Linked DNA regions of Struthio camelus. The protein of the gene in region 3 interacts with the protein of the main gene of each other region in a pairwise test. Links are inferred from orthologs where the notes say so. Each region holds a gene or a part of one and is shown on either strand. Other genes may lie near its edges.

What was found.
Region 1: the proteins of GFAP (region 3) and RIBC2 interact in a two-hybrid assay, tested with the Homo sapiens proteins (2 studies listed by BioGRID and IntAct). The two-hybrid records come from large-scale screens. The link is inferred for Struthio camelus from reciprocal best matches to the Homo sapiens genes GFAP and RIBC2.
Region 2: the proteins of GFAP (region 3) and ZC2HC1C interact in binary tests that used the Homo sapiens proteins (3 or more experiments, as listed by UniProt). The link is inferred for Struthio camelus from reciprocal best matches to the Homo sapiens genes GFAP and ZC2HC1C.
Region 4: the proteins of GFAP (region 3) and PDZK1 interact in binary tests that used the Homo sapiens proteins (3 or more experiments, as listed by UniProt). The link is inferred for Struthio camelus from reciprocal best matches to the Homo sapiens genes GFAP and PDZK1.

The regions. Positions count from the first base shown.
Region 1 is NC_090942.1:79,775,232-79,782,891, reverse strand, and holds the start of RIBC2 (RIB43A-like with coiled-coils protein 2), read right to left. Parts: upstream 3,015-7,660; 5' UTR 2,913-3,014; coding exon 2,796-2,912; intron 1-2,795. Other genes in the region: SMC1B (structural maintenance of chromosomes protein 1B), read left to right, coding at 3,353-3,461, 5,266-5,458, 6,236-6,344, 7,537-7,660. UniProt on the Homo sapiens protein: Microtubule inner protein (MIP) part of the dynein-decorated doublet microtubules (DMTs) in cilia axoneme, which is required for motile cilia beating.
Region 2 is NC_090946.1:57,870,190-57,877,249, reverse strand, and holds the start of ZC2HC1C (zinc finger C2HC domain-containing protein 1C), read right to left. Parts: upstream 3,012-7,060; 5' UTR 2,966-3,011; intron 1,820-2,965; 5' UTR 1,813-1,819; coding exon 538-1,812; intron 1-537. Other genes in the region: ACYP1 (acylphosphatase-1), read left to right, coding at 3,400-3,483, 3,911-4,126; DNA mismatch repair protein Mlh3, read left to right, coding at 6,395-7,060.
Region 3 is NC_090966.1:709,049-716,230, reverse strand, and holds the start of GFAP (glial fibrillary acidic protein), read right to left. Parts: upstream 3,016-7,182; 5' UTR 2,997-3,015; coding exon 2,494-2,996; intron 788-2,493; coding exon 727-787; intron 155-726; coding exon 59-154; intron 1-58.
Region 4 is NC_090942.1:106,741,954-106,749,155, forward strand, and holds the start of PDZK1 (Na(+)/H(+) exchange regulatory cofactor NHE-RF3), read right to left. Parts: upstream 3,010-7,202; 5' UTR 1-3,009. UniProt on the Homo sapiens protein: A scaffold protein that connects plasma membrane proteins and regulatory components, regulating their surface expression in epithelial cells apical domains.

The DNA.
Region 1 (7,660 bases), on a different chromosome or scaffold from region 3:
ACAACAGACTTAAGCCCTGTGTTTGTTAACAGAAGGCAGCAAACGAACATGCAGAAATCAAGATTTTATTTCTAATTTTTTTTTTTTTGCTGGTCAAGTCACCTAATCTCTTTAAAATAATTACAAAAAAATTTACAAAAAAGTGACAATTCTTCAACAACTCGATAAAATATTTTGATAGTGCTAAAATGGTTATTCCCTATTCAGATCAAGGGAGAATGACCTAAACAGATCACACTGTTAATGCTGTAATGGACTACTGACTATACCAATCAGGTCAAGAGGTAGATCTATAAAGTGTAGGCAAGGGTAAAACCATGAAGAAGCCTACACTATACCTTTGTACTGCAATAAGTCTAAAACCAATGCTACAGAAGACATCAAACGTGAACTCATTCAGAGGCCTCATTTGAGAAACTAAGCTCTCAACAGAATTATGGGAAATAGTATTAAGAGAATGTTTTTGTGTCTCCATTAGTAGATTCTGGGAATAATACAGGCAAGTAAATACACTGACTAGCATGTACAAATTCAGAGTTACACTATCAGCTCTTTCCTGTTCTCTCTGTCCTAGCTTTCAATAGATGGGAATGCATCCATAGAAGGACCATTCCTAGCCACACACAGTTACATATTTAACTTGAGCATTTGACCATACCTTGCCTAAGGATAGCTGAAACATTAGCAATGTTAAGACTCAATGAGAGATGCTAATGGCACTAAAGTAAGGAATTCCTTACGATGAACATTTAAAGCAGCTGACTAACTACTAATCTGCTTGTCTTTATGTATAATAATTCATATATAAATGGAGAGTCATTTTTCATTTGGACTATTCATTTGAACTCTTTTGGGAAATTACTGATTTCAGTGAGAATAAATTCTTAAATCTGTAAATGAAAGGAGCTATATCTTAGACTACTTTCTAAGTTTCTCTAGATTATTTTTCCATTTCTCAGATGAGAAAACAGATACAGTAGTCAAGGTAACTACTAATAGTCAAGAAAAGAATAAAGCCTCTCAGTTCCCAATCTGCTTTCCAGGCAGTATACGATCTCCATGTTTATAAACTACTCCCTGAAGTAGTTTATAAACAGTAGCTTCCCCTGAAGAATCTGTGGTGCATTTCTAATGCATGATTTTTGAATTGTGTCAGTGACAGGCACTCAGCTAAACTGGAAACAAAAAACTAAAACCAAAAGCAACCTCCCTCCCCCCTCCCAACAAAAACAGAAGAGAAGGCAGACTCTAAAAGCACATCTGAAATACAGATATAGTATATCTTTGTATTGATTTGTTGACTCTCCATGCTTTGGACTTGACTTAATTTCCAAGCACAAGATAGCCCCTTCTGTTAGTAGTCACGATACAGCCGCAGAATACCGTATATTTAATGATTTTAATCAAAATATTTATAAAATTCCTCTAATGGACACTTTTTAAGATATTTGTCTCAATGGGAATAGATTCATCAAAACCTGTCTGATAAGCTACTTCTACATAAGTGTTTGGGAATGATTTTCAGATGGTCTAAATCAGTAATGCTCAATAAAGTAGAGAATTTATATTTTACATTTAATTTTTAAGGCTCTAGGAAATATATCCTACAGAGAAACTGTGTGTTTCCTGAGGATAAAGTTGAACCTTACTATACCCATCCCACATCCATTAAAAGATGTTAACTCCTTCCACTTAAGTGTACTGTTGGCTATCACACATGTCAGGATTCTGTTATCAGGTAGATAATCTGTCCAGCTCATGAAGCAGGAACTGCTACTTTGCTATGCAACTAAGACGACTTGCAGAAGTCACAGGAATAAATCCAAGGCTCTGCTGCAAATGAGGTAAAGATATCCTTCCACTGACATACTGAGACATGTTGCAACACCTACTACCAGATGGATCAAACTGACACGTTGCTATCCTACCAGCCCAAGGAAGTGAACAGACTGGACTTATTTTCACAAATTCTAAAATTAGTCCTACTTGACTAGATCCTTGCAGGCTGAATGGCATTCACACTCTGACATCCATTCTGGGCAAAATCATAACCAGTAGTTTTATATTCATAAAAGCAGCCTGAACAAATCTGTCAGATTTTGCCTGATACAAAATAGGGAGCAGTTGCAGGATCCCTTCCAGGAACAGGTGTCTCACAGCAGTGATCCTATTTTCTAGTGAGGATCAAACAGTTGAGAGATGTATCAGTACAGCAGAGTGATAAAAATCATTTATTGTTTTATTCCTCATTGTGTTTGCTGACTCTGCAGGCTTCTGGCTTACCCCGAAGTAAAACATGCTCCACAAAGTTCACTCCTACACATAGGCTGAAACAGAGGGCTTGATTTTTTTCTCCTTTTAAGGAGAAATCAAACCATGCCCTTGAGCCCCACAGCAGTGAGCCAGACCAAGTCCCCCTTACACGCGATAACCGCCAAAAAAAAAAAAAAAACCTCTTGATGATGCCTAGACAATATAGACACGCTTTCACCAGCGACCTTTTAAAAAGGCACCACTCCCCTCAAGCAAGGGGGGGGGGGGTGCCTGCCCGTCTCCCACCCCAGCCTGGCCCCCGCCTGCCACAGCAGTCACCGAGGTGGCGCTGAGGGGGGCGCCTGCCGTGCCCATCCTCCCCCAGGAGCCGGGCCCGGCCGCCTCGGTCCCGGGGCGCTGCTCAGGGCGGCCCCCGCTTTGGATCGGTCTCCTCAGGGCACGTCGGAGCAGGGCGGCGGCACCACCGCTCTCGCCTCCTCGCTCCGCCACAGCCCGGACGGCGGCTCCCTCGGCGCCCTCACCCCAATAGTCCGGTCGCGGGCGTTGAAGATGCGGCTCTGCCGCTGCAGCTCCCGCTGCCGCCGCCGCTCCAGGGCGGCCGCCTCCTGCAGGTCTCGCTGTAGCCCCAGCTTGTGCATGGCGCCGAGACGGGCCGCACGGGCAACGGCCTGGGCAAAGCACGAGCACCAACGGCCGCCCACGGGAACCACAACACACGGGTCGCTATGGGAACGGCAGCCCCCGCCCTCTTGCTCCGCGCGCGCGCTTCCACCGGCCAATCGCGCGAGGCCGCGTGGCTGCAGGCACGAGGCGGGCGGCCGTTGACGACGCGCCGTTGGCGGGCTCTCGCGTCGCTCCTGGAAGGGAGAGGCGGCGGCGGCGGCGGGCAGCGGTGGGGCGGGCATACGGCTGCGCTCGCCCCAGTTCCCCTCCCGCGCTCCGCGAGGCTCTTCTCTTCCCCCCCTGTTCCGCAGGGCAAATCAGTAAAAAAAAATACTCGCTGGGTGTTTAAACTTCGTGCAAGGCGGGAAGTTCAAAGGCTAACGGTCTCGGCTGCCCCTCACCCACTGCCGCAGGAATGGGTTACCTGAAACTGCTGGAGATGAAGGATTTCAAGTCGTGGCGGGGGCTGCAGGTTATCGGTCCCTTCATGAGGTTCAACTGCATCATTGGGCCCAACGGATCAGGTAGCAGGCTAAGGATATAGGTGGGAGGGAACAGCGAGCAGCTGCGGGCTCTGCTTCTCTTCTGTAGCTGCTGGGATTGAAGTTTCTGGTGCCCTGCCAGCCTGTATCTCAGTTTTGGGGCCTACCAGGTCCTTTCTGTGAAAACCACTGGCCTAACAAGGAGGAAGCAGTAGCTGCCCAGGCGCAGCCACTCAGGTGAAGGAGAAGGCTATCATGGCTGTACTGAATGGATGGAGACAGCTTGTCTGCTGAGTAGAGTTGCAAAGCTTGACTGAGGGGGACTGAAGACTCTCATAGGCCTTGTTGAAATCAGTTCACAGGCACCTGAGGGGATGGTAGCACAAACAAAGTTTTGCATGTTCCTGATCTACATTGCTTCTTTAACTGACGGTATTGATCTTCCAGCACAGAAGGCTGAAGTGGTGTGGCTGAAGAAATTTCCGTTCCCGGTTTTACCCTTTATTTTCCTAGCCCTGTAGAATGAGCAGTTTGAAAACAGCCCACCACTTTTTGGCCACCCCAGTTTGTAGCTCAGCTTGTTAAAGTTACATAAAGATGGTTTCACTTTAATATGCTGGGTTGTAAACTGTAGTAGTGGAAAGCTGCTTCTTGAGTGAATGTGTAGTCCTTGCCTTAAACGTAAATGCCTGTGGGGGGGGGGGGGGGGGGAGATGAAGCAGCTTTGGAATGCTAGCTACTTTGGATATTGTAGTTTAGGCCAAAGAGCCTTCTCTTGTTGATGTAACTCAGCATTGTCATGCTCTGGGTGCTGGAACTTTGATTAAAAACTGATTCACTTCTAATGAAGGCTTCGTTCAACAAATGTGATTTTTCTTTTAGTTGCCAAAGAACAATGGGATGGGAGTTAGGGGCTGTCCCAAGGAAGAGCCTCAAGGATGAGCTTAGTGTTTGGGCTTAGTTACACAATCTGTTAATGATTTAGATCCTGTTTCTTCACTTTTCTAATCTAATGAGATACATGAATGGAAATAGCTAGCTACAGTCAGTTAGCATTATTGTCATATTGTGTATCATCCTGTTCCATCCTAACTGCCCCATATTGGGAAGTCTCAGAATTGTGGTTATTTTTCCAGGTACTTCTCCAGTTAAATCTGAATAAATTATATAGATGAATCAAAAAAAAAAAAAGTGTGAATATTCTGTAATCTCTGAATTAATTTCCCCCCCGAGTAGTCTTCCTTTTCTGATTCTTTGCAGAATGAGACAAAATACTGCAAAAGTACGAAAGTTGAAGACAAAATAATTAAGCTGTCATCAGAAATGCCAAAGATCAAAAGGGGAAAAAGGAAAAAGGGTTCAATAAAGAGAACTTTTATAAAATAGCATTATTAGAAAACTTTAGTGCTGTGGTGTATGGATCTGGGAAGGTACTTGTGTTCATAAGAACCCGAGTTCTTGTGGAACAGTTCTAAGGTTGCGATGTTTATGCAACAGACCTCACTCACTACATTATACAAAGGAAACTATCAAGTGAGGATTATGATGCTGTCAGTTCAGTTTATTTAATAACCTCTAGACGTGCCTATATGAAATCTGATCTACCATACTGAGTCTGGGATTTAATAACAAATCAGTTTTGTGATCGTTTCTATTACAAACAGGCTGGTTATCTGTTTTACATTATATCTTAGAAATAGATTTCTTTACGGTGTGAAATATTTTTTCCTGAAGGGAATATATAATGTATAAATGGAATGTTAAAGACTCCCAGTTACATGTATGTTCTCTTAATTGTTAATCAAATTCCTCATTTCCTTTCTGCCATGACAAAACTTTTTTTTAGGCAAATCTAACATAATGGATGCTGTTAGTTTTGTGCTGTGTGAAAAGATATCTAACTTGCGAGTTAAAAATGTTCGAGAACTTATTCATGGAGCACATGTTGGAAAACCGGTCTCTTCTACAGCAAGTGTAAAAATAGTGTATTGTGAAGAAAATGGGGAAGAAAAAACATTTTCAAGAGTTATCCGTGGTAGGTAGTAGATTCTGTCGCACATGTTTTCTGTGGTCTGATGTACAAAAATGGAGACTGAGAATCTTTAGCTTTCAGTTCAAATGCATAGTATTTTTTGGTATTAGGTAGGTTAAGCCTGTTGAATCTTGAAACACTTTTTAAAGTCTTTAAGCAGTGTTATAATTCAAAAATAAAGCATACTATGGGCAAAGTTAAAAGTTAACCAAATGATTAATATATGTTTTTGCTCTGTACTTTGATCATCTATAGATTTTTCGCTGTTGGAATGTGTGGATAGCGTAGGCTCTGGAGACTGGGGTATTCCATTCTGAAACTTTTGCTTCAGGCACAGGCACTTAAGCAGCTGCTGATATCTTTTGGAAATATGCAGCTAGAATTTTAATACAGAAAGATGAAGCTGCTGAAATGAGCAAGGGTTTTCATTGTTTTTTTTTTTTTTTTCTTGAGGGAGTTGCTTAGTTGAGAGCAGAACTAGTGACTGCTTTCCCATGGATTTTGTGTTACAGCCGTGCATTACTTACACGCCCTCTAACACCTTCCCACGGGCTGCAGGGTCAGACCTGCTTCCTCTCATGTCCTTGTGTCAGACCAGAGGTATCATGTTATGTGCATGTTCTGAATTACACGTGTGCTGCGATACCATAAGCTAAGAAGTGTATTTAAAAGTCATTTATATAGTCATTTGAAAAACGCTTTTTTTTTTTTTAAGTAACATTGATCAGCTACTTAGTATGATTTTTCCATTTTATAGTAATTACTTTTTGTCTTCTTTAGGTAGTTGTTCAGAATATATTTTTAATGATAAACCTGTCAGCCGATCTGTTTACATATCCGAGCTTGAAAAAATAGGCATACTTGTCAAAGCCAGGAATTGTCTTATTTTTCAGGTGAGCATTTAAGGTACTTGGTAAAGAACATTAAAAGCTTCTGAGATTATTTCATAGGAATGGACAGTTATCTACTTGACTGACAAGGGAATGCCCTTAGCTAGTTTCAAGCTAACAGGCAAAGTTTTATCCTGACCTTGGCTAAGAGCTGCAGATTGTGAAATGGAAATTAAAAGGTTTTTTGTGTGAGCATGAGTGCATTGGTAAGAAAGAAGCTAATCCAGAAGAAATTGTTTCTGTTCTTTAGTTTATAAGATGATGTGCTTCTTTATTTTTAAATGCTTAGTGTTTTAATTTCTCTGGTTGTTAAAAGTGGGAAAAGATTGTAATTTCATCTCAAAACACCCATATTAGGAAAGAGGCATAAAAATGTATCCAAAAAATCGTTAAAGAGCAAGAGTTAGCAATTGAAATTCCTATTAGGTTATTACTTCAGAAGTATTTAAAGATACAGGTCCAAAATGCCAATTGCTTACGATGAAGATACTTCACAGTATCACCTTCTTTATCTTTACAGAACAGTGAGCTTAAAATTCCCGAAGAAAAACTACTTCATTCCTTTTATAGTAACCCTATGTATAGATTCTTGTTGGGATAATACTTTTTAATGATGAAGGCATTGGCCACTAGAAGAACAGAGTAAGATCACAAAACTTATTTCCTGCAGGCTATTGAAAATGATAATTCCTTCAGGTCGGTCAAGGTTTGAGCAGGTAATGCATGGACAGAAATTGTACTCCCATTAACTTTTGTGTTATGGAATCTTCTAGTCCATTGATTTCAGCAGATGCGCTCTTGAAATACTGATTTTTGTTAATTTTATTTGCATTGAAAATGAGTTTTAGTTCCTTTAAAGAGGCTAATGAGATTTAATTTTGTCATTCTGATGCTGCTCACTGATCTGTTCAGATAGAATTCTGATTTTGAAGATGTTTTTTATAGTCAGTATCTGAAGTTTTAAAATGATTTAAAATTATTTTATAAGGTGATGTTGGATCATTAATTACATGTAGTGGATAGTTGGTATTCCTTTCATTACTGAAATTTTCCTTGGGCTTGTACCTATTAACTGTCAGTTCTGTTAACTAAAAAAATATCAGGAAATAACTATGCATTGTATGCACTTGAGAAGAATTTCATCATTATACAACGTGACAATCTGCCGTGTTGCATTTTGGCAATTTTGTTTTAGGGAACAGTAGAGTCAATTGCAATGAAGAAACCAAAGGAAAGAACTCAACTTTTTGAACAAATCAGTAATTCATGGGAACATGCTGAAGAGTATGAGAGAAAAAAGAAAAAAATGCAGCAAGCGG
Region 2 (7,060 bases), on a different chromosome or scaffold from region 3:
CAGACCAGCACTAAGGAGGATTTGAAGGATTTATTGATATTTCCATCAATCCTTAGGAAAAGCTTGGGAATACCCAGAAGAACAAGGGCCAGGGAACTTGAGGAAGATGCTCTGTAGGAACAAGGCTGCATTTTTTCACTGCCTTCACTTTAATAGTCTGTTATATTACCTGGATTTTCAACCGGTTCCCTGCACCCTGCTAATGCCACCGGTCTCTGTTTCATTGCAGCACAGCCACCCTGCCCTCTGACAGGAGCATCTTGACTCCAGCGACGAGTGAGTTTTCTCTGGGAGTACACCCTTACACATTGCAAAGACAAGTCCAATAAGATCCCCCCTCCCTGCAGCTGGGGCAGGAGCTGCAGCTCCTTCCATTTACCTGCTTGGCAGGTGCCTCTCAGAGGGGATGGCTGGATTGTATCCCCCAGCCCTGTCTACATGGGAAGGACCTCACATCTCAGTCAGAATTCTATCTCCAGGTGGGAGAAACATGAGCAGTACACGCAGATTGAGGGTGGAAAAAGGGCTGCACATTACCTGAGGGCTCTCTGAGCTCTTCCACTGCCGATACTGTTCCAGCTCTGTGCCCCTGGCTCTAGCCTTGCTCGAGTCAAACACCTTCCTCTTAGAGCCTTGGCTCTTGCTGCAGATATTTGCGTGCTTCTCGAGCCTGGTGCAGAGAAACTTACGTCCGCAGAAGCTGCACTGTCCTAGTTCCCCAGCACTGGCAGCCTGTATGTACAACATCTCTGTGGCTAAGTGGTCACCAGATTCTTGGTCTGAGAAGGCAGAGGGAGAAGGGCTCTGTTTTGAGACTGGCTCTGAGCAAGAGGCTAAATCCTCTCCAGATAAGCGGTCTCGTATTTTGCTATTGCTGGCCACCAAACGTTCCTTCTTGAGTTTCCCCATAGCTAGCTCTTGGGGATGGAGGCTGGTGCCTGGCTTGGACCTAGTGACCTCTGGAGACTGCGCCCTCTCAAAGTCCCCATCACCAGGCCTGACTGCCACTCTGTAAACGTTCTCTTCAGAGTGCCTTGTGGCCTTTCGCTCAGTGGTCCTCTCTGCTTCTCTGGCTCTTCTCTCCTCTGCCTCCACTAGCTCCTTCTCTCTTTGAATCCTCCTAAGCTCCTCCTTTGTTCTCCTCAGCTTCTCTCTGAGGAGGGCCTCTTTCTTTCGGATTTCCTCTTCCAGATTCCGTCCATCTGCCTCCAGCCTTAGGATGTAGGCCAGCTCTCTCCTGTATAGGGGTGAGGCTGACTGTTTTGGTTCTGCTGTCCAAGGAGACAGCACTGCAGCTAGCTGAGATCTCCCTACTGCAGGCTTCCCTTTGCTCTTTGAACTAGGCCGACTACTTAGAGATTCCTCCATGTATGGGGGACTTCTGAGTTGCCCTCTGTTAACCACTGGAACACTTCCAGCCTTGCGGTGAAAGATTGGTTTCAGGGGATATGAACGGTCCACCCCTTCTCTCCGTCTGGCTATTGATTTAGATGGCAGAGTCTTGGCCTGGCTGGTGAGATATTTGCTCTGGAGTCCAGCTAAACAGAAGCCTTCCTGTCTGGAGCTGTGTTGACTGCTTTCTGCTGAAAGAGAATACTTCGAAGCCGAATAGCTTCGGCTTTTTTCAGTGTAGAGATCCTTTAAACTTTCCTCTTTGTCACGTAGGAGTTTGTGATGAAAGGTGCTCTTCGAGTGTTCCAGCTGGGATTGGCGGACTGGGACTTCAGAATCGTATCTTCCTGTCACTGGAAACTTGGGAGCTGCCACCACAGAATCCACAGGTGGAAACAAAGCCAACTGCAGCTCAGCCATCCAGCGCCTGAGAAACAGCCCGAGGTTAGAAGCGCAATCATTACACACTATCTTATCTAAAACTGGAAAAATTCCCTCCCAACAATCTACAGCTGGAGGCTATAATAAATACTAGCAAAGTTTTTGTAACTTTTCTGGGTTCCATAACTCTTTACCTTCCTTCCACCTAAGGGGCTCCTATGCTGCCTCTTCCAGTCCTATGCAGCTAGAGATAAGGTCTGCCTTTATTTCTGTCTCTGTCTGTGCGCTGTCTCATCATTGTAGCAACAGAAATATGCTATAATGTCAGGGAAACTGTTATATCTCTCAGGGCATTTCCCACATGTCCCTTCAGTTTTGCCACTGCATCTCTGTCAGTGTGGTACACAGGCCTGGAATACAGACATCCTGTAAAGCTCAGTCCAATTCTTCTGCGGCTCATTCTATTACCTGGTATTTCCTGAAGAGTAAGTTTCAGATACCCGCGCAAAGCCGCCATAACTATAAATACAGCTTAAACCCCCTCTCTCCCCCCCCCACACACATAGACGCCTGCAATCTCAGCAAATACTGTACAGGGGACGAGGAGCGCCGTGCCCCTTTACTGCAGGCGGCCAGAAGGGCGCCGGCCACTGCCCGCACGCCGCGCTCCCACGAGCAGCTGATAGGCGCGGCAGCATTGTGACGGCAGCCGCGGCCGAGCCAATGGCGCGCGGCCGCAGCGGGCGGGGCGGGGCCCGGCTCGCTCGCGGCCGCGGCCCCGCGGCGGGCGGGGACGCGCCGCTTTAACTAACGGCTGCAGCCGAAGCCGCCGGCCCGCCCCACCCGCGTGGCGGAGTTCACGGCACGGCGGCTCGGACAAATCCACAGCCGACCGAGCTCTTTTGGCTCGCTTTTAAGACCAGCACCCGGGGGCTGGCAAAACCGGGTGGCCCCCGCGCAGAGCAGCAGCTCCTTTCCCCCCCGCCATCAGCGGCCCTTGCCCCCTCCCACCGGGGCAGGGCCGAGCTCTGCCCGCTGCCCTCCGCCGGGCTGGGTGCCTCCGGGACGCGGCCCCGCCGCTGACCTCGTTCCTGCGCCCGCACTGCCGCAGCCGAGGCGCACACCGTGCCGGGGGCTGCCCGGTCACGGAGGGACGGCTGGGCCGGGCGCCTCGAGCCCCCCCCCCTCTTACCGCCGCCCCGGGCGTCGGACGTTGTGTTGACCACTGTTGCCTAGAGACAGGCACGCTAATGCTATTTCCTGTGCCGCTCTCACCGGGTAGCGGTCTCTCTATGGTTCTCCCGAGAGGCTTCTCTTCCACTCGGCGCAGCGGGCGGAAGTTGTGTACCGCGGTGCGGGACCACTCTGCTCCCTGGAAGACTCCCCCTCTATGCCCAGGCAGCGGCCGTTGAGCGGAGGCGATCCGGTGGGAGGGGAGCACGCTCATGCATTATTCATAAGGTGGTTAGAGGTGGGCAGGGCAACCCCTCCCCCGCGCGCGGCCCCGCTCGCCATTGGCCGCCGGGCGCGAGGGTGGCCCCGCCCCCGGCCGCGGGCAGCGTCGCGCAGGCGCCGCGGCGGCAGGAGGCGGTAGCGGCGGCGGCAGGAGGCGGCGGCGGGGCGGCCATGGCGGCGGGCGAGGGCTTGATGTCCGTGGACTACGAGGTGTTCGGCAAGGTGCAGGGCGTTTTCTTCCGCAAGTACACCCAGGTGCGCCTCGGGGCGGGCCGGCCCTCCGGCGGAGCGTCCCCCTCTTGAAGGACGCCCTGTCCCCGGGGGCGCGCGGGGCTCTAGTGAGGCCTTTGCGTCGCCTATCAGCGACTCGGTGGGAGCTGAGCCAAAAGAGCTTGGCTGAGTGGCTGCCGCAGTCCTGGCTCGTGCTCCTCACTGCAGCTCTCAGTACTGTGTGCTGCGGGTGACTTTGCGCTGCGTTATGTAAGCATGACTGAAGTATGTTTCAGCCCCTGTTTTTCATGTGAAGGAATATAATGAGTAGCGGATGACTCCTCTGCTGCTTTCCTTCTGTCTGACCCGTGGGAGCTTCCCTGGAGCTCTGTGTCTTGTCTATAAAACTAACTCCTGTGTGTGAGCGGCATTGTGTAGTTCACCTTCACCGTGCTCTACGTTTTCTTCTCAGGCTGAGGGACGGAGACTAGGACTGGTTGGTTGGGTCAAAAATACTAGCCATGGCACTGTGCAAGGACAACTTCAGGGTCCAACGGCCAACGTACGGAAACTCCAGGAATGGCTGAGAAAGACAGGAAGCCCCCAGTCCTGCATCAGCCGAGCGGAGTTCCGCAACGAGAAGAAGATTGATGCGCTGGAGCACAAGGATTTTGTGATTTTGAAGTAGCTTTGTCCAGAGAGCACCAAGATTTGAAGCATGAGCCACCCTCACAGAATAGTTTCTTCTTCTCCATTTGTTATCAGCTAATATTCAACCACAGAGAATTTTATTTTATTACTCTTCTAATTTATTGGTTTGTTACACTGTTTGTCTAATTTTATCTAACTCTCGACCATTCATGATATTTTGACAGGCAGACTGAAGAGTTGTATTTATTAAAGGGGCTGTTTAGAAGCACAACCTCTTCTGAATGTATGTGCACAATGAGTTTGAGTAGTTGTACATGGGTAAAATAATTTGTGCAGTGTTCTGCTCACTTCAGGGAAGTTGTAGAAGTGATACCAATATTAAATATTGCTAAAAGGATATTTTGCATCATTTTTTGTGATCTGAATGTCTCAGAAACAGTTAATTTTGTTCTCTACCTGGTAAGAAATTTATTTATTTTTTCTTTCAAATAAAAGGGCTTGGAACTTGCGTTTTGTGTTGAATGGATGTGTCGTAGTGGGGCTGAATGGATGGTGGATCTTTAGGGGTGATGTGTTCCCTTTGTTGATACCTGTCTGTATGGAATCATGCTGTGTTTCAGTTGCTCACTCAGTTACGCTAACACATGAACCCTTGTGCTATTTTCAATGAAGTGAGCCAACCAGAATACACAGTCCCTGAGCCCTTCCTTATGTGAGCCATCTCTGACCTGAGACCTGGCGACCTCCCAAACTGGTGGCGCGTGCGGGAGGCTAGCCCAGAGTCAGCTGCTTCCCTCCCCACCCCATTCCCAGTGAACTGTGGAGCAGGATGGGGACTGCAACCACAGTGACCACCGCCCACCCCCCACTCGCACAGGTAGGGTGCTCCAGCCTGCCTCCACCCGCGAGGAAAAGCTGGTCCCCACGGAGTGACGTTACACGGCCCCCTCCCTGGGTGACCCACCCGGCCAGCGCCCTGCTCCGGCCTGGGTGAGAAACAGCCGGCAATATGGCAGCACGGCCCCGGAAACTACAGCTCCCAGCATGCACCGCCCGCGAGGCGCAAGGTGTGATGGGCATCGTAGTCCTCGTGCCGTTTCCGCCCTTCCCAAGACCTCTGGCGCGCAGGCGCGGTGCGTGTGCCCGCGCGGGCCGTCAGCCGGCGCGGCGCTGCCCTGCCGCAGGAGCCGCGTGCGCGCCGCGGAGCCCGCGACGGTTGGTCTCGCGCCGCGGCCGTTGCGGGGCCGCGCAGCCTCCAGGCCGGCGGGCGCTGAGGGGGGGAGCGGCGCGGTGCGGGGAGGCGCCGGGGGAGCGGGGCCTGCTCTGCTGCCGGGCCCGTCTGTCAGTGGGCCGTCACCGCCCTTCGCCCCCTGCCTGCCAGGGCCTCGCTTCGCGCTTCTGGGCTCGCGGGGGGCAGAGTCCCTGGCGGGGAGGGGAAAGCGGGCTGACCGTCGTGCCCGCCCGCGGCACCCGCGCGCCGCGGCGCTAACGAGTGTGGGCACGGGGCGCCGCTGCCCTCCTCTGCCCTTGGAAACCCGCCTCGGGCTTTGCAGGAGGGGGAGAGCGCCAACGAGGGTGAGCAGCGCTTACTAGACTGCGAGGGGAGCCCTGCGTGTGGGGGGCAAGGAAAAATCGTGTATTCCCTTGCATACCCCTAAGAAACCAGTAGTCGTCAAAGAAAAGCCGGGAAATTATTGGGATCTCGTTTATATAAACAGCTTAGTATCCCACCTCCGTTCTTGAGCCAGCTTTTCTTCCCTTGGACAAATAGCAGCAGATACTCTCTGGCCAGAATGAGACATCATGAATGTATGTGAGGAGATCTGAGGTAAATATGAGAGGAAAGCAGCTTTCAAGCCTGATTCCTGGTGATACTCAGTACATATCTTTGATACAGAGGGAAACAGAAGCCTTTTGCTTGCAGGTCAGTTGAGTTTGGCCTCATTGTGGTTGGATTTTCTTTTAGGGATGATAAATTCGGGAAACAAGTGTGTAGCTACTAAGGAGCATAGATTCTGGTTTTGGCCTTTTACCCAGAAGGCACCAGCTGATGTGTAGTCAGTCCTGGAGCAGGAAAGTAGTCATAGAAAAGCCTTTGAGTACCAGAAAAACAAACAAAAATGTATTTATGAGGGTGAGTACAATAAATAAGAGATCTTTCATGCCCATAATTTTAATTTTTCTTTCCTTCTTTCTTTCTTTCTTTTCTTTTTTTTTTTTTTTTTCACCCAGGGAATTGTTTTGACAAATATGGATGAGTGAGCTTGCTGCAGTTTCTTGACTTTGTCATCTGCCCAGTTTTGACATGATCAAACGTCTGGTAGAAGATGTGCGAGCCAGGCTGCGTTCTGGAGTGACTATCAGCTCACTGGGGCAGTGTGTTGAGGAGCTTGTCCTCAATAGCATTGATGCCAAAGCAACATGCATAGCTGTCAGGGTGGATTTGGAAGCTTTTAAGATCCAGGTGGTGGACAATGGTTCTGGGATGGGGAGAGAAGACTTAAATAAAATGGGAAGACGGTACTTCACTAGTAAATGCAGCTCAGTGGAAGACTTAGAGAACCTGAAATTCTATGGCTTTAGAGGGGAGGCTGTGGCAAGCATAGCAAACATGGCCAGCATAGTGGAAGTTTCATCTAAGACCAATAGGACAGCAAAAACTTTTGTGAAACTGTTTCACAATGGGCAAGCGTTGGAAGTCTGTGAAGCTGAACTGAGCAGACCAAGTGGAGGAACTACAGTGACTGTGTGCAATCTGTTCCATCAGTTACCAGTGAGGAGGAAGTGTATGGATCCAATCTTGGAATTTGAGAGAGTAAGACAGAAAGTAGAGGCTATTTCACTGATGCATCCTTCTGTTTCGCTCTCTTTAAGGAATGATGCCTCTTGTTCTATGGTGCTTCAGCTCCCTAAGACACGAGATGTATATTCTCGTTTTTGTCAAATTTATGGACTGGGCAAATCACAGAAG
Region 3 (7,182 bases):
CAGCCTCAGTGTCCCCGCTCCACCCCTGGCCCCGCATGCTGCCTGGCCATGGCACTACCTCATCGTGGACCTTCCTCAGGAAGGTGATCTCCTCCTGCAGGGAGCCGACCCTGCGCTCCAGGTCCAGGCGAGCCAATGCGGCAGCGTCGACGTCCTGCCGCAGGAGGGAGGAAGAGGAGAGACAGTGTGATGCCTCACCTGTCCCTGCTGAGCTGGCCCTGAGGATCCTGGCCTGATCCTGCCTGTCCCAGCAATGGCCCTGCCCCAGCCCAGCCCAGCACCTACTGGCTCCCTCCTGCCCAGTCCTGCCTGTTCCCAAGTGTCACGGACCATCCCTGCCTGTCCCGGCCCATCCCCGAGTGTCCCAGGCTGTCCCTGCCCTCCCTGCCTCTAGCCTTGCCTGTCCCTGCCTGTCCCCAAGTGTCACAGACCATCCCTGCCCTTCCCAGTCCATGCCTGAGCACCCCAGACCATCCCTGCCTGTCCCTGAGTGTCCCAGGCCATCCCTGTCCACCCTTGCCTCTTGCCCTGCCTGTCCCCTGCCCTCCCCAGCCCAGTCCTGCTTGTCTCTGCGCGTCCCAGACCGTCCCCTGCCCATCTCTGCCTGTCCCCTGCCCATCCTGAATGTCCCAGCTGGTCCCTGCCCCATGCAGTCTGTCCCAGCCCACCCCTCGCCCCTGCCCCGCTCCCCGGGGCTGGGGGGCAGGATTCGGCCCCTGCCCTCACCTGCCTGTAGGCAGCCAGGGTGCTCTCGGCCTCCAGCCGCAGGGTCACCTCGTCCTGGAGCCTGCACCCGCAGGGAGACCCACCGTTACTCCTCACACAGCCTCGCTCATTAGGCACCATCGCTCATTAGGTGCTGCTGCTCGTTAGGCACTGGTACTCACTTTGCACCGGTGCTCATTAGGCACTGTTACTGGCTACACATTGCTACGTGTTATGTACTGTTACTCGTTAGGCACCGTCACTCACCAGTCATGGTGGCCACGTGCACCTTGGCCCCTCGGCCAGCCCCGCCGCCAACGCTGGCCCCGGCACCTGTGTCAGTGCATGTGCACGGCCCCACACTCCCCGCCACCCCTCCCCGGGCACGTGTTCCCCATGGCCCCCCATGCCACATGCATGTCCCTGGGTCCCCCCCCCCCCCACCCCCCATCAGGCTGGACACGCACCAGCCTCACATCCTCCCGCTCACACCGGCGGGCACGAGGGCCCGGCCTCGGCCGTGCCGCACCACCTGCGCAGACCCAGCTCACCGTGTCACACATGGCCCTTACACGGGGGTCCCCAGGCATGCATGGCCTTGCCCAGGGACCCCAGAGGCTGCTGCAGGGTGCATGTGTCCCGCAGAACTTCCCCTTGGGTTTTCAGGGAGGTTTCAGACCCCCCCCCCCGCTCCCCCCCGCTGCCTCGCATTTCCTGGAGCCAAGCCTGGCCATAGCCACCGCCACGCATGCACGGACATGGACACGGCCATGCGTGCACAGACACACATGCACAGACACGCATGGACACGGACATGCATGCGTGGACACAGCCGTGGATGCACAGACATGCATGCACAGACATGGACACAGCCATGCATGCACAGACACTGACATGGACATGCATGCATGGACACAGACACACATGCACGGGCATGGGCACAGCTGTGCATGGATGGACATGCATGCCTGGACATGGACACAAACACGCATGGAGAGATACAGGCATGGCTGTGCACACATGGACATGGTCATGCATGCATGGCCCCAGCCTCAGCTGCTAGCACACACCCAAACCAGTGCTGCTTCCAGCCGCACGCACACCCGCACCCAGCAGACACACCTGTGTGTACACATAGGGCCGAGCACCCACGATGCAGCTCAGTTAGAAATAGTCAGACTTGGAGGTTGGCCCCATTGCAGTGGGCTAGCGCTGTGTCCCACAATGGGACCCAGGTGTCTGGGTACTCCAGCTTGCGTACTGCACCCTGTGTCCCCTCCATGTGTGTGCCCGGAGCCCCGTAAAATCCCAGCTCATCCCACATCCCTTGGTGGACACCATGGTCTTCCTCAGGGGCAGCCTGGTTCCCATCACCACCATGGTCCCCAGGGTCATCCTGGTCCCCATCACCACCCTGGTCCCCGTGGTCACCCTGATCCCCATCCCAGTGACCACCCTACTCCCTGGGGCCATCCTGGTCCCCATTATCACACAGGTCCTTAGGGTCACCCTGGTCCCCATCCCCACCCTGGTCCCCAGGGACACACTCATCCTGGTGGCCACCTTGATCTCAGTCCTAGGGGCAGCCCTGGTCCCTGGGACAACCCTGGTCTCCATCACAATCCTGGTTCTAGTGGTTACCCTCATCCCCAAGGCCACCCTGATCCCCTCACCACCCTCATCTTGATGACCACCTTTGTCCCCATCACCCCCCTGGTTCCCATCATCCCCCCTGTGCCTGGGGCCACCCTGCCCCCCAGGGCTACTCCGAGCAGGGCAACACCTTACTTTTGCCGGAGGCCACCGAGGTCCTCAGCAAGGTTGTCCCGCTCGATCTCCAGGCGGGCCTTGGCGGTGGCGAGCTGCTCCACATGGCGCCGCAGGTCGCGCAGCTCCTCCTGGTAGACATCGGCCAGCCGCGAAGGCTCCTGGTCCCGCGCCTGATTGAGCTCCACCACCAGCACCTTGTTCTGCTGCTCCAGGAGCCGGACCTTCTCAATGTAGCTGGCGAAGCGGTCATTGAGCTCCATCATCTCCACCTTCTCATTGGTGCGCGTCTCCCTGAACTCCGAGTTGAGTGCGTCAGCCAACGAGAAGTCCATCTTGCTTGGCCCCAGGCGGGAGCCGGAGCGGAGGCCAAGGTGGACGCTCCTGGCCCGGGCAGTGGCGAGCCGGGCTGGGGAGCTGACGGGGGGCCCCCAGCGCACAGGGACAGCCCGGGGTGCCGGGGCGGCGACGGTGCCTGCGGGGCCGAAGCGGCGCCCGTAGGAGGACAGCCGCTGGCTCTCCATGGCGCGGGGTGGCTGCGCGGGGCCCGGCCAGGGGGTTTTATGCAGAGGGGCTGGCGGGGGGGCCAGCAGGCACTGAGGCGAGCACAAATCCCGGCCTTTGTGGTGCCTGGCGGGGAGGGACGCAGGCTGGCACCCTGCCCAAGCGCCGCGGCACGGCCCAGCAGCTCCACCGGCCCCACTGGGGCTCTGCGGGTACCCGCGGGAGCCAGGCAGATGGAGCCCCCGGGGTGCTGCAGGCAGAGCAGTGCCACGGCCCCGCAAGCCCACGTGCACGCTGCAGCTGGGTGCCGCTGCAAGGGGCTCAGGTGTAGCCGTGCCCAGGGGTCGAAAGTTGCCACGAAACTGCCGGCCATATGTGCTCATACAGCTGTGCACATGCATGCCTGTGCCCCCACACACGTGTGCACGCACAGCTGTGCGCATGCATGTCTCTCCCTCCATGTACATGTGCGCACATATGTGCATGCACAGCTATGTACATGCATGCCTGTCCCTGCATACACACACGTGCACATACGTGGCTGCCAGCCCCATTCAGGCAGGTTTGAAGGAAGTTTGGCCATGCGGAGAAGAAGCTAATTAAGATAGACTTTTAATTAAGTGTCTATTGGAACCCTCCAAAGCTGGTTCCACCCCAGCGGGTCTGCAAGAGCAGCGCAAACTCATAGCCCTGGCCAGGACTCCTGGGTCCCATTCCCAGCTCGGTGCAGCAATGGGGGAGCACGGGAAACTTTGGGGCTTCATGTCCTATCCTAGCAAAAAAAAAAAAAAAAAAAAAGGCAGAATTTGAGATTTCAAGAGAGCAGGCAGCCCGCTGGGATCCCTGCTTCTGCTGCCCCGAGGCCCCGAGGATGGCTAACGGGGGAGCCCTTCGTTAAACCCACCATCCTGGGGCGGGGGGTATGCCGAGACGCCAGCACCTCCGCCATCACACTGCTCTGAGCGGGCACACGCGTGTGCACGGCCAGGGCAAAGCCCCGGGTACCATGGGGATCTGTCAGCACCGCCGGCGACAGGGCGGCCCCATCCCCGCAGGGTGCTCATCTGTGCACCAAGTCGGGGTTATTTGTCCCCTTTTCCAATTGCGGGAACGTAAGGAGGGGCTGGGGCCCCCACAGCCCTGGCTCGCCTCCCGGCCCCCAGGCACGTGGCCGAGGGCCAGAGGCTTTCCCAGCGTGGAGAGCGCCAGAGTTGTGTGAAAGGGGCTTTGTGCACTGTGGGGCAGCGAGCGGCGCCCGGGAACAGGGGCGCCGAGGGGACCCGACCACTCCGGCATAGCAATGAGGGTGCCTTTATGCCAGGCTGGCGCGGGGACGCAGAGCTGCTCACCACCGGTAAACTCGGGGCAGCACAATGAGGCCGGATCCCGGGGTTTTCCCCAGCTTGCGGTTGCTGGGCAGGATTTGGGGGGCGATGGGCACATGGCCACCGGGAGCCACGTCCCCTCCGAGTCGCAGCATGGTGGGGGACATCCTGGGCGGTATCTGGCCCCTCCAGGCTGGTGGGGATTGGGGAGCAGAGCAAGGGGCGAGGAGGCTTTGGGGACACGCATGGTGGCTTAGGGGGAGCAGCGGCCAGCAGGAGCCCTGAGAGGTGGCTGGGACAGAGCCACCGAGGGTGGCTGACCCCAGGCACATTGATGGGGGACAGCAGGGTCTCTTGTGCACTCGTGGGGACGCTGCAGTGACGGGGACAGGCCTCGCTGGCTGGCAGCTAGGTGGCAGCCGATGGCCGGGAAAGGCTCCCTGTCCACACTGGTGCCGAGAGCTGCTGGTGGGCCGTGGCCTGGCCACCAGGGATGGGCTGGCTGCCCCAGGCTGCCTGCTGCCGCCATGTCCTGGGCTATGTCCTGTGGCCGTGTCCCTGGGGACTATGTCCCATGGCTGTGGCCGGAGAGGACAATCTCATCCTTCCAGCCTGGCAGCCCATGGTCCTGGCAGGGCAGAGCAGGGGACGGCGCTGAGATCGGGAAGCCAGCATTGGTGGCCGGCTTCCCAGCAGAGGCTGCAGCGGGGACAGGAGCGGGGCTGGATGCAGGATGCTCCCGGGGGCCAGCACCCATACTGGCACGCCAGGACGCCTGGGTCCTGCCACCAGACCTTGTGCAGGGGGGCTGCAGCCCTCGGGAACCAGAAGCAGGAATTAAATCACAGCAACTCACTCCCCATCAAAGCTCCTCATCCGTGAGGCTAGCTTGGGGTCTCACGCTCTAATGGACGTAAAACCACCCAGCAGGGTCCCTAGGTACCTCGAGCCGAATTTCAGCACGAGAGCACCCTGTCCTGAAGCCAAAGGGACATGCGGCCTGGGGAACCTGCAGCCCTCGCTCTCGCCGCCACCGCACCAGCATGGAGGGAGGGCTGCTTGGTGCAGGGAGGCAAGGCGGGCGCCGGATCTTCGGGGCACTGAGGAAGTCTCCGCTAATCTCCCCTGATACTTATTTTCTCCTGGCTCCTACGCAGCCAGGATCAAAGCATTGACGCCTTTTGCAAAAAGCTGTCACTCCCAGCGGCTGTGGGGAGGCAGATCTGGGCTCTCCCCCCACCCCCAGCCTCCTCTTAATGAGACAAATGAAGAGGAGAAAGCTGGAAGTTTTAATTATAAGCTTCCAGCCTCCAAGAATACAAAGGCGAGCACCCACTGCTGCAAGGCAGCTCTCCGCGCCAGAGCTGGGCAAGCGAAGTAGGTCAGGAGGAGCCGGTCACCCCCAAGCCCCAGGGGAGTAGCTTGCAAGCAGCTCCACCGCACACCCGGGGCCAGCTTGCGGCAGGAGCGCAGGGGCCAGGGCACGGGGGAGTGCGCTGAGCGCCCCAGCCCGGCTCAGACCTTGCATCCCTCTTCCCTGCACCCGTTCGGCAGTTTGGCCGGCTCCGAGGCTTTGTGGGAGGAAGTCGCCTTCAACGCGGGTCACAGGGACCCAGATGCATCGTGGCACCCAGGGACCAAGCTCTGGCTAGAAAAATAGGATCCAGCGTCATTTCGTCCTCTGCCAGGGCTGGAAGGAGAGGAAAGCAGCTAACAGTGGGCTGCCCCGTTCACAGGCCACTGGAGCAGCCCAAGGCAGGTCCTTGATGGCTTCAGGCCCCAGTGCGGTACCCAATGTAGCACAGAAGGGCAGGGAATCACCACGGTGCAGAGGGGAGAGCCGCAGTGCCCAGGCAGAGATGCTGGGGTTGGCAGCTGGCCAGAGCTAGAGATAAGGGAGCCCCTAGGGCAAGAGTAGGGATGGGTAGACAGGAATGGCAGGAGGGGGTTTTTGCAGGGGGAAAGTGGTGCAGAACAGCTCTCCGCAGCCATCAAGCATAGTGGCAAGCGGCCTATGTCTCCCCTCACCCACTCCACAGGACATGGAGCAAACCACCTGTCCCTTCCAAGGCACAACAGAGGGGCAAAAGCCACTTAAGGGAGCCACCAACGTGAAGATGGGAAGCCACGATGGGCTGGGCAGGGCCGAGATCCCCCCTGCGGCAGCTCTCAGGGGAGCAAAGGCCTGTCCAGGGCCCGCTTAGGTGGGAGCTGATACCCAACCATTGCTTCCTGCGTGAGGCGGAGGCAAGGAGGCCAGAAGCAACATCCACACGTCTCCCCGCACCCCTCTGGTTTTAAACTAAAAGATTTATTAAAAGCATGTTATTTCTTAGCATCACCCATCTGTTAGCACTCGACACCCCGGCGCAGATTACAGAGGGGCTGAGAGGGAACAGCAATAATCCATCTGCTACAAAAACATACAGAGCTGAGCAGAGGGAAGGTACGTGTAATCCAGGACAACGCCAGGACCCCAGGGATGGGAACTGGGAGGTGTTTGGCCAGTTTTAGGGGGGATCAGGTTGGACATGGGGCAGCAGAAGGCTGGGAACAAGCTCAGGGTTGAAGGCTCTGCACTCCTTCCCTTGTATGAAGCAGAGGAAAAGGGGAAGATCAGTCCCCTCACCTCAAGGAAGGAGCTGGAGGGATGTGATGGGGGTGGTCTCAGAGAAGGGCAAATTTTGGCACCTGAGTTTGGGCCCCTGGGAGGGCCAGGCCACAGGGAGGGGTCCTGGACTTTGCAGGTAATCAGCATAAGAACTTCATGGCCTGGGGTTTGGGAGCAGCAGAGGCACTGCTGAGCACTGCTAGCTCTTTCACACTCCTCTTGCTGCCTTTCTGGCCAAGACTGCCCGAACAATGTTCTGAGGATTGAAAC
Region 4 (7,202 bases), on a different chromosome or scaffold from region 3:
AATGCATCCAAAGCTGGTGAGCCCTTGAGGGACCTCTTCTGTCCTTCCCCCGTAAAAGTGAAATTTACTTAAGAATGGAATCGAATAAAGGCAACTTAAAATATCAACTCTTATGGTTCTTGAGCCTTTTGGACTGTGCTCTCAAACATTCATACAATTACAAAAATGAGGAACGTAAGCAAAAAAACCCCCTGACCTCTAACATTTCACGGCCTACAGATCTCTAGGAAGACGTCCAAATTCTCAGGACTTTGATACTGCCGGAGCTGGCCACAGTGACTTAGGTGGTGTGGTTCTGTTAGCACAGGGACTAGATTTATGGGGCCCATTCTCCGCAAAGGATGTCCCCGTTTTATAGCCAGTTGTGGTAATGTAAGGACCTTTGTTCCTCCCCTTGCATTTTCCTATATGCTAACATTTGCAAAATCCTTTCCATCGTTCTTTTTGCTAGAGCTTTCTGATGTTCAGTCAGAAAAAGTTATCCTACTTATCTGTGTTACCAAAGGAGCCATCTGTTTCAGATATTTGTTTTAGATTTACACCAGACAGAAACATTTTCTAGTAGCTGTAAGTGGTCGCATGGTTTCCTCAGCACATTAGTGAATGGAAAAAGGAGCCTGTGTTCTTGGAGCTTGCCAGGATCCCTGGCTTTAGTAAATTCACAAGTTTTGATAAGTCTTAACTTCAAAATAAAAGCTATTTGTCAAGGTCCCACTCTTTACAAGAAGTGCTGTCCAGATGTCAGGTTTGCTTTTTGGCCCTGTTTTAGACACAGACGTGAGTGGAGCATGTGGATCTCTAATGCCCATTGGTGCCAAGATAATGGCTCGTATGTAACTGTTATTGACCTCTGAAGAGTTTATACAGATTCATGTGTGAGTTTTAAAAAAAAAAAAAAAAAAAAAAAAAAAAAGTATTATCTAGTCTCTGGATCACTTCTACTTTCTTTGGTAACCTGCGTTTGTGTGTGTCTGTGTGTGTTTTCTGTTGGCAGTAGTGAAGAAACGGGTTTTGTGGTCATTTCACTGGATGAGAGGAGTAGAAAACATGGCTATTAATGACAGATTTGTGAAGTAGATCTTTGAAGTTTATAATACAAGCTTAAAGCTCTAAAGCTTTGTTGAATAAAGGATACCTTTTTTGTTAACAAAGCTTTACAAGGGTCTAAACCTAAATTTGCATGAATACATTTCACCTGTTCAGTTTTGAAAATAAGCTGGCTACTCAAATGATACGCATCACTGTCAGCGTTATTTTTTTTGACAAAAGGTTTATGTGCATGCTTTGCTGTAGAAATATTCCCTCTTTAATCTTTATAATAGTGACTATGCTAATCGCAGCTGAACTCTCTTGCCGGGGAGCATGGGTCTGGATGCCCTTTAAAACCCATGTAAGGAGGCATTTCTAAATAATTTTTGCTTGCCTGCCTTGGTTGCTGCATACTCACTGACCATCAGCTCACTTGTCTCTTTGTAGTGCTGTCCTTTTCTTGGAGTCATATGACACAAACTAATTAATGAAAATTAATTTTCGGATGCAGCCTATTGGGAAAGCAAGGACTCTTATTAACGTCCTCTGCTGACTCCAGCTGGGACAATTTGAAAAATTCTCCCCAGCTCCCTGCAGATAATTATACCCCTGTACCTGAGAGTGACAGAACGGTGGTATGCCTGGTCTAAGCCACCACAACCCAATGTATTAACAGGAGGTACTATTGCTTTCAATTTATATTAGTATACATGACTGTGAACTGTGATGTCTGAAGGCTCTAGTTCATAGCCTCTGTCAGGTAGAGGTATGGTGACTGAAGAAGCTACTGTCCTCATCGGAGGGGGCAGTGGCCTCTTCAGCTGTCCCAGCTAAATGCGACAAGAATGATGAATCAGAGCCTTGGACTGTTTTAAGGACTCCCTCAGCACAGTACTGTGAAGGTGTCTGGTATTTGTTCCTGTATCCAGCCTGTTAAAAATCAGTACAGCCTTCTCACTTTGCCCCTTATTCTGCCAGTGATGTTTTCCCACTTTGGCAACTATTAGGCAAAACAGCAAGTGCTTTGATGATAGAAATACTTAGTTCGCTGAGATCCTGCTTAAATATGAGGCAAAGTTCACTTGATCTACTAAATGAATATTCATCAGTCATCCTTTAATTACCGCTTGGGTATGTACATCTTTCTTTTTCTGGTGACCGCGTGATCCTGATACGGTAAAAAGTCAGGGAAATAAAGGAGAAGCAAACAGAGTTGGCGTTGCTGGTCTAGGGAGGAGAAGGAGACAATATCCCTCCTTTTAGCTTTTGGGCCTTCTGTCCTCCTAAATCATGTTCTGTTCCTAATCAGCCAGTGTTTATGGCAAATAAAAGTACTCTGCTATCCAGTGGAACTTTTATGGTCAAGGGAAGCCAGCCCTTTTCTTCTTGGTAGACCTGTCGGCAGGGGATTACAGTGGCAGTTCCCTTCCCTCAGGCTTTGCTTTTTATATTTCAAATAGTGAATTATCTTCCCTAATGTCCTTTTCGCTTGAGAACATAAACTGCAAATGAGTGCTTTCTTCTTTAGTTCTTCAGTAAGGATTTTGTATTGATTATGAGTTGAGCTTTTGAATGCTGAATTTTTAATAGAGTTAATTGTGATGTTTGTGCAGCTTCTTTTGCTGCCATGTCAGGCTGAACTCAATGTTTAAAAACTGGAATTTTGTATTGAAGAAAAAATTTGAAGGCCTTATAAATTAGGAGTTTTGTGAGTTGAGTAGGTTCCTCAATGGAGGAATGTGTTTGTCCGTAATAAATGGATGTATACCTGTGTGTATATATCTGTGAGCATGCACAGAAATCTGCCTGTCTGCAAAACTATTCGGATAACAGCAACAGAACTTGATTGGATTAAAAGTTACTCAAGTGGCAATGCCTTTGGAATTCTCTTTTTCCCTCGGGCACTGGTAATGTGGGAAGATTTTTCTTTGCAGTTCCTTATATTGGGTGTTTTCAGGACATAAATTTCTTCAGTTCTGCATTTTAATTGCTGTATCAATCAAAAGTTTTTGTACATGCAAGATGCTGAGACGTTTGTAACATATATATATATATATATAATATATATATATCTTTCTTAATCTACCAGTCTAGCTTTTCCAAATCCATGCAGCACCTGATGCTTTTCGTTTCCTCGGATATGTAAGCTTATAAAATTGCTTTTTCTGATCTATGAATGAACAGAGTAAGTTACTTAGATCTCAGTTGCAAGTGCGTTTCTTGCCCTTTGGAGATGAATTTCTGAATTTGACAGCAGTGTATGTTAGTTTTTCTAAGCTTTGGAAATATTTGTATTTAAAAAAAAGAAATCTACTCCACTGTTTCCTTTAAGGAGCTTGAGGAACAGATGCTTATGTAATCACTACAGAAAGCACATACTGCTCCTCCAAAAGTACAGCTCTATGAGACAGGAAGTATACAGACCTAAGACTTAGACAGCAAACAGGTCTGAATCTCTTTCCCTTCCCATTTCCAGTTCCCTTCCTACACCCCTCAAAAAATCTGTAACCAATCCAGGAAATTTCCCTGGTTTCTGTATCACCTCTTTATTATTGAGTATTTTATTTCACTTTGTCAGTAGAGATGCTATAATAACATTTCTTTGACCTAAGCTTGGTGTGAACAGATGTTGCGGGGGAGGAGGTTAGTTTGCATTAACCTCAGCAAATATAAATGCTTCACTGAAGCCAGGAGATCCATTGTGACTTTTTTTCATATGCCAGGGATCTAACTTTTGCTTCAGATTTCCTACTGGATGCATCTCGTCTTGCTACCGGAAGGACTTGAACTGGAACAGCATTCACTTACCTCTCTGAGATCAGTGATCGTAATGGAAAGTCTGAATGTAGGCTTGAAGGCAAAGATGTGATTTATATGCAGGCTGCCTGTAGACGTTTCCATCTTCTTGGTCGCTTTATAATTGCCTTTGTATTGAGGGAATTATTGTGTGCTGCTCTGATGTGGCTTATATGATGCTTATAGAAATGTATGGGGGTGGATAATGGCTGCTCTTCATTAGTTATTGTCACCTCTGTGGCTTTGTAAGGCTTGTGTTTGTTGCCACAGGAAGGAAACAATTGCCGCTATGCTAGGCGCTACGTAAATGCAGAATGCAGCCTTGTTCCTGGGTAAACCTTGAAAACAGTTACTATAAGCGTTGTGAGGAATATAAATCTAGATATTAGTTGAACCCAAGATAATTTTAATATGAGAAAATTATTTACTACAAAAATAAATTCTAATAAGCTACACAGGCCAGCAGAGTTCATTATAAGCTTCTATAATTCTTCAATTTCTTTGGTGAAAATCTCCAAACAAGCGACTGACCCTACCCGAAACCTATGCCTAAGTACTAAGAGCAGAATAAATCTCCTTAAAATGCAAACATGGAAATAACATTGGCTTGGTTGTAAGAGCAAGTTTTGATGATGGCAGAGCTTATGTCCCTGATTTCAACTGGAAGACGACACTCAAACTTTCTAAAATACCCACTTTTTGTGGAAGATCGTCCTAAGTGACATGGCGACATCTGGGCCTGCTTAACTTATCCAGAAATGCTGAATTCGGTTCTGAAGCGGAGCCAGCAGGACACCCCTTCTGAAGAAGTAAAAGCTGTGGAAAAGGAAACAAAATTCTGTTAGCCATGGGCATAGCTGAAGTTACGTGAATCTGCTTCCTCAGGCAGGCCATCCACAGTAGAGAGAATTTAAAGATTTAGGTGACTGGGGAAGCCGGCCTATGGCCAGAGGAAAGTTGTGTGTGTGCCAGTAAGCTCCACATTATTTGAATCCATATGATAAATAGCAAGGTCCCAAGAAGTTAAGCACTAACTCAAACTCTGCTCCCTTCTTGTTTTGCTTTTTCTGGAAGCTATGCCATTATTTATTGCTTTTCATTTGTATGTGCATATGAGAGATTCCCAACAGAGCCCTATAATGATTTCCTAAAGTTAAACCACAACTTGTCACTAATCAAGTCAGATTCGCTGGTGTTAATGGTGGTATTTAAATCTGCCCTTATATGATTTAACTGTCACACCTTCTTTTAAGCCCATGGAAACAGTGTGTCCCTTTAAAGAGGATGATGGAATAAGAATCTTCCCAACTGTGTGTTTAGTGACAGCAAGGTGTAAGGAAGAGGTAGCTAATGGACGCTTAAATCAGGTAGGCATTTATATTCCAAAGTAAGTGGTGCTATTCATTATCCATGTGCTTTTGTAGCTAGATCACTGGGTAGGGAATTGAAGATGAAGGATATTGTCAATGCCTTAAATTCTCCTAGGGCAACCCTTACGGAAATTCCTCCTAGTGCTGACTTTGTGAGTGGTAATAATGTGTTATATTAGTCTGGGAGTTTGATCATTGGACTGTGATAGTCTATTGATTCACCTTAATACTGCAGAGTTCCATAAATAATTAGATAAACGTGGAATGTTGATTTTTGCAAGGTTTGCTTTTATTTCTACTTGATTGACATTACACTTTTTTATTATTTTGATTTAAAAAGGAAAGAAAAATTAAGTTGCAGCTTTTGACAAATTGGTACATGAACCTGTTCTCTCTGTAGTTACAGAATACATATATCTTGAGGTATGAAATTTGTAAGCCCTCTGAGTTCCCTTCAAAATTCTAAAACTTCACAAGGTGATTAAGAGTAATAATGATCACTATGGCAAAAAGCTTTCTGTTTCAAGCCAGTATAGAACTCTTGGGTTTTTGTTTTTTTAATTCTAGATATAGGGAAGCAAAAATGATAACCCATTTGTCATTTGTACAAGCCAATGTTTTATGAAAGTGATACTCTACTAAAAGAAACCCAACAAACTAAGCCTTGAACTGAGGTACAGGGGGAGGTTGAGAAAGATGTTGGCATAAGCTTGGAAACCGGAGCAGAAGGGCTTGCAAATTGCAGTTCAGCTTTTCTTTGGCTTTCTAGGATTGTGACAAGAGAAAAGAAAAAATTTTTTAAACTTGTAATAGGAAGCAAAACTGACACTCAGATAAACACAGGCAGTATTCCCATTGTGAGGCTGCACAGCACATGACTGAATTTTATGAAACTGAGGGAGCATAGCCTGCGTCTTAGGCCTCAGAGGAAGTAGCTTGGCTTTTCACAGTTGCTGTCTTTTGAATGATTCTCAGGCTTACTCAGCCTAAATGTTTTGTGTTGATACAGAATGGATTAAAACTTTTAATTTCCCTCCTTTGGCAGATTAGTTTTGTGCGCACACATTTTTTTTTTTTTAAACACAGGCAGATTTAAGATAGTATGTTAGTTATATGGATATACTGCTGCAATCACTTACATCTCTGTGTGCATGCACATTCCTTTATAATTTAGTATTACAGGGAAATCTGTGATAAGTAGGCAGGCACCCATGTTTTATTAAAACTCTAGAGGGGATAAGACAAAAAAGAGCGTCTTATGCATGGCTGTTATTAGCCTCAGATTTGGGACTGCAGTTAGGAGGCGAAAGTCTTTGTGATAGGTTGGGCTTCATTGTGGGGGGCCTCTTGATCTTAACTCGTTTGTAGACCAACACGTCCAGAAGGCTGACCTGATGCATGATTGAGGTGAAGGCAAGTAGCTAGGGTAGATTACAGCCAGGACTATTGGAAGTCCAGAGGGCCTGGTGCATGGCTTTGTCCTGCCTGGTCCAGGGGCACTTATGTCCCACAGTAGGAAAAGAGCAGTTTCAGAGCGCCAAGAGGATATCTCCTTCTTTCACTGTTTTGATGGGAACCAGGCTTTACTACCATATCACTTACAAAACTGAAAGCTAGACCTGTCCAGATTTGGCTCTAGAAAGATCTGATAAGTCCTCTGAAGTGCTTTTTTGGAACCTTAGTTGTAAAACCAGAATAGGGTGTTACACAGTTACAGATCAGTTACTGAGAACCACTTAATCTGGTGTGGGTATCTTTGGTAAAACTATAGTTTACCTAGTCAGGGGTCCCTCCGACTATACCGTTCTTAGTTCAGTTTGACTTAAATTATCTGTTACAAACAATCTACCTTCTCTTTTGGTATTTGCCCACCACTGTGGCAATTTGCCAACCTTGCTTGAAATTTTTCTTCAGTCACCACAAGTATATGCATATGAAGACAGCAGCCCAAAGATACCTTGGGAAATAACTTTTGGGGTTTGTCTTTCTCTGGTACTGCTGCCTTTG